2 linked regions of the Xenopus tropicalis genome follow. The main gene of each other region encodes a partner of the protein of the gene in region 2 in a complex. Links are inferred from orthologs where the notes say so. Each region holds a gene or a part of one and is shown on either strand. Other genes may lie near its edges.

Region 1 (5,909 bases), on a different chromosome or scaffold from region 2:
CCGTCGGTAGTGCCCATACATGGGCCAATAAGCTGCCGAATCTGTCTAAGGGACCCATATCGGCAGCTAGAATCGGCCCGTGTATGGGGACCTATGGTGAGTATGGAGCAGTCAGCTATGTTATCTACAAGAGCTGTTACTGGACTGCTCTGTACCTACCTTTTGTCCCGGGGGGGTGTAACCTACTGGCAAGTTAAAGTTATTATTATGGAATAAAGGTCCCATCTGCCCTATGGAAGTCATACTTATGGCCGGATTCTGTGATATATAGACCTTTGCTCTGCTCAAACATGATGTTTATTGATCATTTCCGATATTTGTGGGGACCCTATACTCACACTTTCATTAAATTCAGTAGAGTTACAATGTGTAATATTGGGGTGCCAGTATCTATCATCAAGTAGTTGTTGCACGTATGAGGTATATGTGTGTGCACCGCCCTTCCAGATTTTGGTTGTGTTTTGGATCTTTGGCTATTGGACTCTTTGAGCATCGGTATTCATGGGCCCCATACTTAAAAGCTAGCAGGGCCCCCTCAATTATTAGCTCACCAGTCTCTTGTGCTTCCAGGCCTTGTAAACAGGTAAAATGAATCCCCTCACATGCATAGCCACATCCCTAATCCACTGCAATTATATTAAAACTCTCCCCATGATCCACCCAAGTGTCACCCCCTACCATAAGGTTCCCCCACCCCTTTCATGGACCCTGAATAACCCATGAAGCTTTGCTGGGGAGAGCTAAGAAACACAACTGTACAATCTCGCCAACCATTGGCCACTCACGAAGAGTGGATAGCAGTGTAGATAGCAGCACCGAGTGCTTTTCCTCTTTAATGATTTTAATACAGTAGAAATAAATACACGAGGGACCATGGGGTCAGTCCATAACTGAATCACGGAACAGTATCTTGCAGGGGACTGCAGTCCGGCAAGGCTTGCACTTGTCTCCCAAACTTGTTTCATGATCATGAAAGTGACCAGCACTTCAAACACAGAGTTTGTCACACTCCGAGAACAGCCATGCTGCATCTGTTTCTAGTAGGGTGCAAATGTCCGACACGGGAGTCAGATGGGGTGCTGCGTGGATTCAGGGAGCGGGATTCCCAATGCCGAATGTTGGCTCAGTTCTTTGGCTTCTTGCACTTGCTTATCGCTGCAGTAATCCTGCAGGAAGATGGTGGCCAAATTGCTGATCCTGCGGTTGGTGGAAAGGGAGAAGCGCACCATGCACTCCACCACAGCAGGAGCCGTCACTTCAGTGCGGGAGGCGGCCGTGCACAGGAACATGAGTGTGGTCAGCGCCGAAAGCACCGTCTCTTCCCGACGGCTGGACAGGCAATTGATGACCAATTTCAGCCCCCCGGAGTCTAGTATGTGACTCTTGTTAGTCTTGTCCAGGCAGAGATTACAGAGACCCCCTATTGGAAAAGAGAGAATGGTTAAAGGCAAACTAACAATTTCAAAGACATTATGACCTACAGGGGGTTTGATCACAATTGAAATTGAGGACATGTTTTTTAGGGGGGGGGGGGATCCCATAGGAAAGATGGAAAAAAACATATTGCCCAAACCTACAATATCCTTCCGTCCTGCTGGAAGTGGTTAATACAAGATAACTGGGCTTTCACTGCACCCAATGTTTATATTCGCAACACAGGATGTTTATCTGGGTATAAAAGGATCGCACAGAAGTTTGTAGTGAAAACGATAAATATACCAGAGCCGTGTTTGTCAGAGACCAATGACAGGCGAGGGGTTGGGGGGGGTGGTACACGGTGGCCATAGATGGGCTGATAAAACCTACTGATTCTGCCACCCCCCCCTCCAGTGCCAGGTTGCATATTGGGCTTTTCCCAGGGACAGACTGGGACAATGAGAAAAATCCCAGTGGGCCCCACCAACCCAGGCCTGATCCCTGCCAGCAACATCGGCCCTCCACCCTCAGTGAGGGGCCCCCAGTCTGACACTGGCTTTTTTTCAATGGTCCGTCCCACTGTCATCAAGCAGAAAATTTAAGCATCTACCCACTGCCCACCTATAGCCACTTTCACTATACTGTCCATCAACTGGAGATTGGGGCGGAGTCATTATATCAGGGGTGGGCAAACTACGGCCTGCAAGCCATGTCTGGCCCATTGGCCTTTTTAATCCGGTCCGCTGACTCCTGATTGGTCGCTGTAGGTCGCTGGGGGGGGGGGGAGGATGTTTAGGAGGATGCTGAGAAGGATGCTGGGGGGGAGCTGGTGGGAGGATGCTGGAGGGGGGCTGGTGGGAGGATGCTTGGGGGGAGCTGGTGGGAGGATGCTGGGTAGGGACGCTGGGGGGAGCTGGAGGATGCTGGTGGGAGGATGTTGAGGAAGATGCTGGTGGGAGTTGAAGAATGCTGGGGGGGAGCTGGTGGGAGGATGTTGAGGAGGATGCTGGGAAGGACACTGGGGGGAGCTGGAGGATGCTGGTGGGAGGATGTTGAGGAAGATGCTGGGGGGAGTTGAAGGATGCTGAGGGGAGCTGAAGGATGCTGGGGGGGAGCTGGTGGGAGGATGTTGAGCAGGATGCTGGGAAGGACGCTGGGGGAGCTGGAGGATGCTGGGAAGGATGCTGGAGGGGAGCTGGTGGGAGGATGCTGAGGAGGATGCTGGGATAGGATGCTGGGGGGAGCTGGAGGATGCTGGTGGGAAGATGCTGGGGGGAGCTGAGAGGCCTGTGATTTCGGGCCAGCGTTACACTCAGGGCCTCCATCAAGTCAATGTGTCCCCTGAGCTTGGAGGATGCTGGCAAGGACGCTGGGGGGAGCTGGAGGATGCTGGTGGGAGGATGTTGAGGAAGATGCTGGGGGGAGTTGAAGGATGCTGGGGGGGAGCTGGTGGGAGGATGCTGGGATAGGATGCTGGGGGGAGCTGGTGGGAGGATGCTGAGGAGGATGCTGGGGGGAGCTGGAGGATGCTGGTGGGAGGATGCTGGGGGGAGGATGCTGGTGGGAGCTGAGATTATATTGCATTATATTGTGACCCTCCTGCCACACATGGGGGCACATTGTGGGCTCAGCACTTCAGTACATTCTCTCACCCAGGCCAAACTCCACCAGGTTCTCATTGCCCTCAGTCAGCATATCCAGGAACAGGTCCAGCACCTGTAGCTTCCGCAGGTCGGAAAAGTTCCGGGGATCGTAGGCGAAGTTGGCCAGATTGGCCAGGACCTGCTCTTTGGCTTCTGAGCAATTAAGGGGAGAAACTAATGAGAAGAGGAAATGATGCGGAGAGTTGGTACAAAACTACAACCGTAACGAAACTGAATGGGGTTAAATCTCCCCCTCTCTCTCCCTTACCGACACTGTCCGTGTCCTGGAACTCAGTGACCAACGTCTGCAGGTACTGAAACCGCTCCGACTCCCCGTCACCCATCCCCGCTCTCTATCAGCCCGCAGTACCTGCGCTTCCGGGTGGGCGGAAGTGATGTCACCGTACTGGCAGAAGCCTCAAGTCGGGTGCCAGTTCTCGTCCTACTTCCGGGCGGGAAGCGTGAGGGAGGCGCAAAGCGCTGAGGCGGAACTGTAGCGTTAGGGGCAGAATTACCCGGGTAAGTGTGAGGGTGGGAACAATAGAAATAAACAAAATGTCATGCTATGAGTATACTTTTGTATTGAGATTTATATATTTATGATGTATTTTTCTCTTCAGACCCTCTCCTACTCACTCTTCAGGTTGGCAACTTGGTAGCAGGAAATTGGAAAGTGTAGAAGTGCTAAAGTGGCAAAAACCTCAGAGGATAAAAAAATGAAGACTGTGGTACTTATCTGCTGCTCACACAATTCTTACAACTATGGCCCACGGGCCGTATTGGCGCAATACCGTCTGACCCCGCCCCTCCAGACACTCGTTTCAATAGAAAACACGTGACACCCAGGCAACAAAGGCCCAGGCCCGGGGCGGAACAGATTAAGGGCTCTGGCACACGGGGAGATTAGTCACCCGCGACAAAACTCCCTGTTCGTGGGCAACTAATCTCCCCGAGTTGCCTTCCCCTGCCATCCCACTGGCGAAAATGTAAGTGGCCGGTGGGATGGCACACGCGGCAGCGCGATTTAGCGCAAATCGCTGAAAAAGCCTCGCAAGGCAACTTCGGCGATTTGCGTGAAATCGCGCCGCCGCGTGTGCCATCCCACCCGCGACTTACATGTTCGCCGGTGGGATGGCAGGGGAAGGCAACTCGGGGAGATTAGTTGCCCACGAACAGGGAGTTTTGCCGCGGGCGACTAATCTCCCCGTGTGCCAGAGCCCTTAGGGTGGCATGCTGCCCAAGCCGCACTGAAAATTGAACGTTAAATGGAAACACCAAGCTGCAGGGCCAGACTGGGGGTAAAAAGCAGCCCAAATATAAATATGCAATGGCCTTCTACTCTTTATATCGCCACACATGTATATAGGGGTAAAATGGCTATAAATCATGTGCATAAGGAATTGGGATGTTAACACGTCTCTAGTTTGGTATTTCTGCAACTATCTGGTTGCTAGGGTCATATTTAAACTAGCAACCACGTGAGATATGGTACTGAATAACAATAGCCTCTCAGAGCAATAGTTTTTTGGCTGGCTGACTGCCTGAAAGCATAGAGAGGCAGAAAAAGGCAGCAAATAATTTAAAAATAAGTAAAAAAAAAGACCAGTGGCACAGATGCTAAATATAGGGTATTTTATAACTCACTTTTATCCCCCTGGGATTCACAGTGCACACAAACAGAGTCGGACTGGCCCACCAGGATACCAGGAAAACTCCCGGTGGGCCCAGGGGTCAGTGGGCCCTCCTGCTCCTCACCATTTGGCCTATTCATGGTCATTCCCTATTTCTGAATGGGAACAAAGAGAAGAAATAGATGGAAGAATAGATGCTAGCATGTAAATAAAACAGACTAGGAGAATAAAGTGGTTTTAGTGAGGAAAGGAGGAAAATTAATTTGGAGAGTGGGCCCATGGTCTAAGGTTTTCTAGTGGGCCCCTGGGGTCCCAGTCCGACACTGCAAACAAGCCAAGGCACACATACATGCTAGGCCCCATCAGCCAATGAATGGACAGAGTTCTGCCTTTTGCTCCCACACTACTTCCTGTTACAGTTAGAGCTGCATCACTTCCTGTCAGCTGATCTCTGAGGGGGCACACAGCCCATCACTAAATGGCGGCTCAAGGGAAAGGCTGTAAAAGGGCAATATTTACTGATATATATATTCCAGTTTGGGGAGATTCTTTAATAGGCCACTTAACATAATATAAACTGTCTGTTGGTTACATATTCATTCTGGGGGTATAGTTTCCCTTAAAGAAATAATTAAGATGCTGGTCACCTGTGACTTGAGCTGTAGGATTGTTGGCTGCTGTTTCTTCAGTTCTTCAAGGGCTCAGAAGACACTGCTGATCTGTCAGATTTCCCACTTTCACTAGCGGCCTGCTTGCCCCAGGATATAGCTCGTATACAAATACACTATTGCATGTGACATCACGCAGGTGTTTTCTTTTCAATCTCCGCCCACCAATTCAAATTTTCTATGGGGTTTTGCTCTGGTTTAGCATCCCGCACAGAGAGAGTGGAGAGGCAGAAAGGAAGTCACGTGAAGGGGAAGAGAAATAACAGACAGCAGGGCACCACTGATTGATATGATAGGTAGGCAGCCAGTCTAGACAGATTACCAGGCACTGAGCGACCCCTTTAGGCATTTGCCTGAATAAATATATTGTCAGTCTGGGCCTGCAGAGCTGGAACTGGCAGATTTCAAGTTGAAAAGTGCCAGTTCTCAATGCTGCTATGTTTTTTTTCCATTTAAATCAATGGGAAGTGGCAGTGATGAATTTGAGCTCTGACGGAGAATATGCACTGTGTGCCACCCAACAGATTGATTTAGAAAGAGTGCCGGGCTTG
Region 2 (5,726 bases):
TGTTGCTAATGCAAAAATTCTAGAAGAACAACTGTATTTCTTCTCATAGGCTACCTAGCAATTATTCCAACAATAATGGATGGTTTCATTACTGACATTTGTTGTACCTAAAATAAAGGGCTGTTGTATGCAAAGCTTTATTACCATTATCTGTGCAAAGGTCTCAGCAAATAAACTAAGTAGCAAGTTGCTGTACTTATTGAAAAGAGGTGTAATTAACGGTAATGGTTTAGTAAAACCATTTAAAACAAATGTACAGTGCTGAAAGGTAATTCAGGTTAATTCTTGGTGTTTGGCTATTTAAGGAATAACTCAGGGTTTATAAAAATTTCCATGAGTCCCATTACTTTAAGTGCACTCTTGGCTAATTAAGTTTCAAATTCAAGCAGATTGCCACTGCCCAATTAATTTTAGCTTGTGTTTAGACTACAGCCACACAAACACCACATTATTACAATGCAATTATCTTTTATTGTTCTAACACAATAAAGTACATTTCAAAGAACAAACACTGAATGCAGTGTAAACAACTATAAAAAAAAAAGAAAAATGCTGTAAAAAATGCCTTCATAATAAATGAAGTTATCCTTTTCTTCATGAAACTATACAAAGGGTTTTCCAAATAATTCCAATTACTCTCTCATCTCTCCATCTTCCTCCTCCTCTTCTACCCCACGTATATATAACACATTGTTGCATCTGTATAAAAAAGGAATACAATAGTTAAACAGTTTAGCAGAGAAAAGGTAGCAGTCACATTGTTTTTCTAGAGAAGGGATACAATTCTTGCTACTAGGTAGTTATCAAGAAAAAAAAGGGCAATCTACTCACGCCTCCTTGGAGGTTGTGCTTTAAAGAGAATATTTAAAAGGACAATTTGTTGCCTTTTTAAATAATTGTTAAATTACACAGTTTAGATAAGAAACTATTTAAAAAGTACATTTTTTTTTTTTACAGAATATACTTTACATTTTTCACTGGTTCACATGTATGTATATATATTTTTATTTATAAAGCGCTACTTATGTACACAGCGCTGTACAGTAGAATACATTAATACAAATAGGGGGTTAATAAGATAATAGATAAATACAAAGTATAACAATAAATACAAATACATACAAGATACAGTTACAGTTGCAATAAGTTAAGAGTCAAAGACACAAGAGGATGGAGGTCCCTGCCCCGTAGAGCTTACAATCTATATGGCACATGCAGTTGCCTTAACATGCTGACAAGAGTTTGCTTTCTATTTCAGAAAAGCAGACATATATGCTGTAATGTGACCACCTACAAAGCATCCCCAGTGCACAATTCTTACCTTATCAAAACTTCTCCAAGATGTCCAGACAATGCACCATCAATATATTCTTCTGTGTTTGCAAGCTGCAATAATATATATAAATGAATTAACCAACAGAAAAAGCTTCTCACACATCACAGCAACCTTGGATAATGGACACTCATTACTTTCTCAACCATCATTACTATAAAAAAAAAAAACTCTGCAATACAGAAATATTAATATTAATTGTTACTTATGTTTTAAAAGCAATTAAGCTGGCTAATTGGTGCTAATGCTACTAGGGTTAGCAATGGTACTATAAAGTGTCACAACACTCTGGCAAGCACTCCAGCTAATTGCATGCAACCTTAAGCAGCACTTAAAGGAACAGTAACACCAAAAAATAAAAGAGCTTTAAAGTAATGAAAATATAATGCACTGTTGCCCTGCACTGGTAAAATTGGTGTGTTTGCTACAGTAACACTACTATAATTTATATAATAAGCTGCTGTGTAGCCACGGGGGCAGCCATTCAAGCTGGAAAAAAGGAGAAAAGGCACAGGTTACATAGCAGATAACAGATAAGTTCTGTAGAGTACAATAGTGTTTTATCTGTTATCTGCTATGTGCCTGTGCCTTTTCTCCTTTGAATGGCTGCCCCCATGGCTACACAGCAGCTTATTTATATAAATTATAGAAGACTTTCTGAAGTAAACACACAACTTTTACCAGTGCAGGGCAGCAGCACATTATATTTTAGTTAGTTTTTTACACTTTAATTTTTTGGTGTTACTGTTCCTTTAATGTATTTCATTGCCAGCAATGGGCTGCTGATGCCCAAAACCATTTTACTTGTGCAATTTCCTAGTGTTAACTAGAGACAGAGGCAATCCAATCCAAATGTCTCATACACTGCTCTAAAATGGCAACAGGAAAGCCCAGATACAATTCTGGCACAATATAAAGGGAATATAATATAAATTATATATACACATGCATACAATATATATTTTTTTTTATTAAATAATCTAATAAATTAACTTATAACAGCAAGTAACCAACTATAATATCTGACATGTTCAGTGCTATTACTTACCTGCATGTTCATGTATCCATCCACTGATACCAAGTAGCCTTTGTACTCCATCCCCCATTTCAGCTTTACCATAACTGGCTTACCAGTGAGGCCATTAAGGAAGGGTTTTGGATTCAGTGGTAAACTCTGAAAATATAATCATTTATAATATAAATATTCAATAGGTCTTGTGATTAAAACGTCAACTCATGCAATAACCTGAAGTAATCATATGCATACATTTTCAATACTATATCTCTGCCTTTATTTGTCCTCAGTTTTCTCATGCTCCCTTCCAAGAAACCAAAAGGGGACACCTGCCTAATAATGATACTTGGGGCACGGCCAGCAACAACAACCACAAATCCATATCTAATAGAAATCATCCTTTCTTTGGTAGGAGGCTATATATTATTACACTACCACAGTAAAATGAAAAAGGGGCATTTATTTATTCTTCCTGATAGTTGAAAGTGCAGTTCAATAGCTGGAGGGCCACAAGGCTGCACATCACTGCTGGCTGAGGGCAGTCACAGTACAAACAGTATAACATGCCATTTGTAGCATTACCACTTGAGATATGATAGGCAGAGGAACACATGGCCTTTAGGAAATTATCAACTCCCATGTGCCACCGCTTTAAGAACAGACGCAAACATCCCATGTTCGCGGCTCATCCCCAGTAGAGATAGTACCATCCCACGCTGCATGGCTACTTATATTTCAGCGCAGCCTACACCGCGCCTTACATACAGGCTCTTTCCGTGCAACGTGCCCTTAGCGAGTACACACGCTGCAAAGATAACACGTTACGCCTTTCCACACAGGCCTAACAATAAAGCAACCAAACAAACCCGAACCAACTGCATAACCCATTCTGTAAATCCGGCGGGATAAGCTGCTACTCGGGATAATGAACAGCCCCACACACCATGCTGCCTGCACTCCCCCCCATCCCTACACACTGACACCCCCTGTCCCGCCAGGCCTGGAACTCGCACACCTCCAGTACTTACCATGGTGCGACCGCAGCCTCACAACAAACTGCAGATCAATAAAAAAAATTCCTCCCCGGAGCGTCCCGTAGAACACACCGCTGGAGCAAAGCGGGAAATGGCTGCCAAGGCCCGGAAGCGACAGGAGAAAAGACCATAGAGAGCCGACACGCGTTGAATGGCTAACTGCTCCCTCTAGTGGCTGGAGTTGGATTTCCAACATGACTCCAACAATCGCCAGTGGAGGCGGGATTATTTCACAATGGTGTTGTATTGTACAAGGCTCACCCTCTGTGCTGACTCCGGGCCGCCTCAGTACTACTAGTACTACAGGGCCTTCCCCCAGGAACCGCAATTAGGCATTTCTAATAAATGCAAGTTGCTATACTGCGCTGACTGCAATTACAACAAATACAAACATTGCGTCCCGTCTATTTGTATTTCGTACCTTGTTTTGATTATTTGTTAACGCTATGTAATTATATTCACTATTATGCACAACAGTCCAGATTTAGAAGCCTTGATTTTCCGAGGACTTGGTGGCACTTGGAGGGTAAAATTAGAATGGGTAAAGGAATACTGTCATGAGAAAAGGTTTTTTTTCAAAATGCATCGGTTAATAGAACTTCAACAGGTTTTTTTTTATATTTAATTTTAAAAGTTCACATGGGGCTAGCCATATTCTTCATATCCCAGGGTGCTACAGCCATGTGACTGATAAACTTCAGTCACACTTTACTGCTGCGCTGCAAGTTGGAGTGATATCACCCAGGAGTACCTGATTCCACAGGTAGAAAGAAAACCATGATAGTTTTCTCTGTGCTCTTTAGCACATTTGTCTCCCAATGTAATGCAAGCTGTCCCCCTTTATACCAGAATCTGTGCGCTTTTTACAAAGAAAGAAAAAGTGAGAGAGGGGTTGCATTACACTGTGACCCTAAGTGGGTTGCATACCCCCCAACTGTCCCGCTTTTCGCAGGACAGTCCCGGTTTTTACAGCGCATCCCGCTGTCCCGGATTGTTCAATGAATGTCCCGCATTACGGAAATGCAGAACATTCATTAAACTATCCAGGCCAGCGGGATGCGCTGACTGCAGCCAGCACTCCGGCTCCGTCTCGTCCTGTGGCTCCTGCTTCTTATTCGGCTCCTCGTACGGCGGCGACAGGCCCTTTTATAAGGTTGCGCCCATGCGTACGTGTGATGTCACACGTACGCACGGGGCGCAACCTTATAAAAGGTCCTGTCGCCGCCGTAGAAGGAGCCGCATAAGGAGCAGGAGCCACAAGAAGCAGCGTCAATGGGGGGCACTGTGTATGGGGGGCATTTTCTATTGGAGGTACTCTCTATGGGGGCAATTGGGGGCTACTGTGTATGGGGGGTGTTTTCTATTGGGGGTACTCTCTATGGGAGCAATTGGGGGTACTCTCTATGGGGGCAATTTTCTATTGGGGGTACTCTCTATGGGGCAATTGGGGGCTACTGTGTATGGGGACATTTTCTATTGGGGGTACTCTCCATGGGGGCAATTGGGGGCTACTGTGTATGGGGGGCTACTGTGTATGGGAGGATACTGTATGGGGGGCTACTGTGTATGGGAGGAAATGTGTATGGGGGCAATTGGGGACACTTTCTGTGGGGGCATTGTGTATGGAGGGTACTTTCTATGAGGGCACGGTCTATGGGGGCGTATGGGGGGGCACTGTCTATGGGGGTGCTGTCTATTGGGCCATTGGGGGCACTATTTTAAAAATGAATTTTAAAAATGGGGTGTGGTAATTGGGGCGTGGCCACAAAGTGGGCGTGGTCAAAAAAATTTGTCCCTCTTTTCATTTTTCAAATGTTGGGAGGTATGGGGTTGTGAACTGTTCCCAGGGAAGTGCTGATATAACTGTCGTGATTTTTAATCTTGGTGCTTTTCCTGATGGGGTGTAGCCGACTCACAGTTGTTCACATTTTCACAGCAATGTAAACAGACCCTTCCCCTAGAAGAGTTCAGTCCCCTGGCACAACAGTAGCACAGCCTGTGGGGATGTATATGTTTGTGTATTGAACATTTATGTTTGTCTCTGCTTTAAAAAAGGAGCACATAACTGTGCCAAAAAAATCAGCAGTTAAAAATGTAATGTGTGCCTTGGTAAATGCTGCAGAAAATAAGAATACAACAACAAACAATTTTTGTTAGTTGATTTGCAAAACAGTAGGGAATCTAATATTTAGCCTGTATTTCATAATCCCAGAAATTCATAAATACTATACACCATTTTTGTTAACCCTTTTTTTTAGCGATGGAGTTGTCCCTTTGTAAATTGCACAAAATCTTTCCTCACTCTTTGGCTCAAATGTGTGAAATTACATTACATGTATTGAGA

Evidence for each region. The genes of interacting proteins can lie anywhere in the genome.
Region 1: snrpf (region 2) and armc7 share a complex: the UniProt entries of both Homo sapiens proteins name them as parts of the minor spliceosome. The link is inferred for Xenopus tropicalis from reciprocal best matches to the Homo sapiens genes SNRPF and ARMC7.

Annotation. Positions count from the first base shown.
Region 1 is NC_030686.2:44,365,127-44,371,035, reverse strand, and holds armc7 (armadillo repeat-containing protein 7), read right to left. Parts: upstream 3,476-5,909; 5' UTR 3,404-3,475; coding exon 3,328-3,403; intron 3,324-3,327; exon of another isoform or gene 3,234-3,323; coding exon 3,069-3,233; intron 1,421-3,068; coding exon 1,068-1,420; 3' UTR 466-1,067; downstream 1-465. UniProt on the Homo sapiens protein: As a component of the minor spliceosome, involved in the splicing of U12-type introns in pre-mRNAs.
Region 2 is NC_030679.2:57,033,730-57,039,455, reverse strand, and holds snrpf (small nuclear ribonucleoprotein F), read right to left. Parts: upstream 3,508-5,726; 5' UTR 3,380-3,507; coding exon 3,377-3,379; intron 2,508-3,376; coding exon 2,382-2,507; intron 1,387-2,381; coding exon 1,322-1,386; intron 700-1,321; coding exon 633-699; 3' UTR 455-632; downstream 1-454. Other genes in the region: ccdc38 (coiled-coil domain-containing protein 38), read left to right, coding at 1-49. UniProt on the Homo sapiens protein: Plays a role in pre-mRNA splicing as a core component of the spliceosomal U1, U2, U4 and U5 small nuclear ribonucleoproteins (snRNPs), the building blocks of the spliceosome.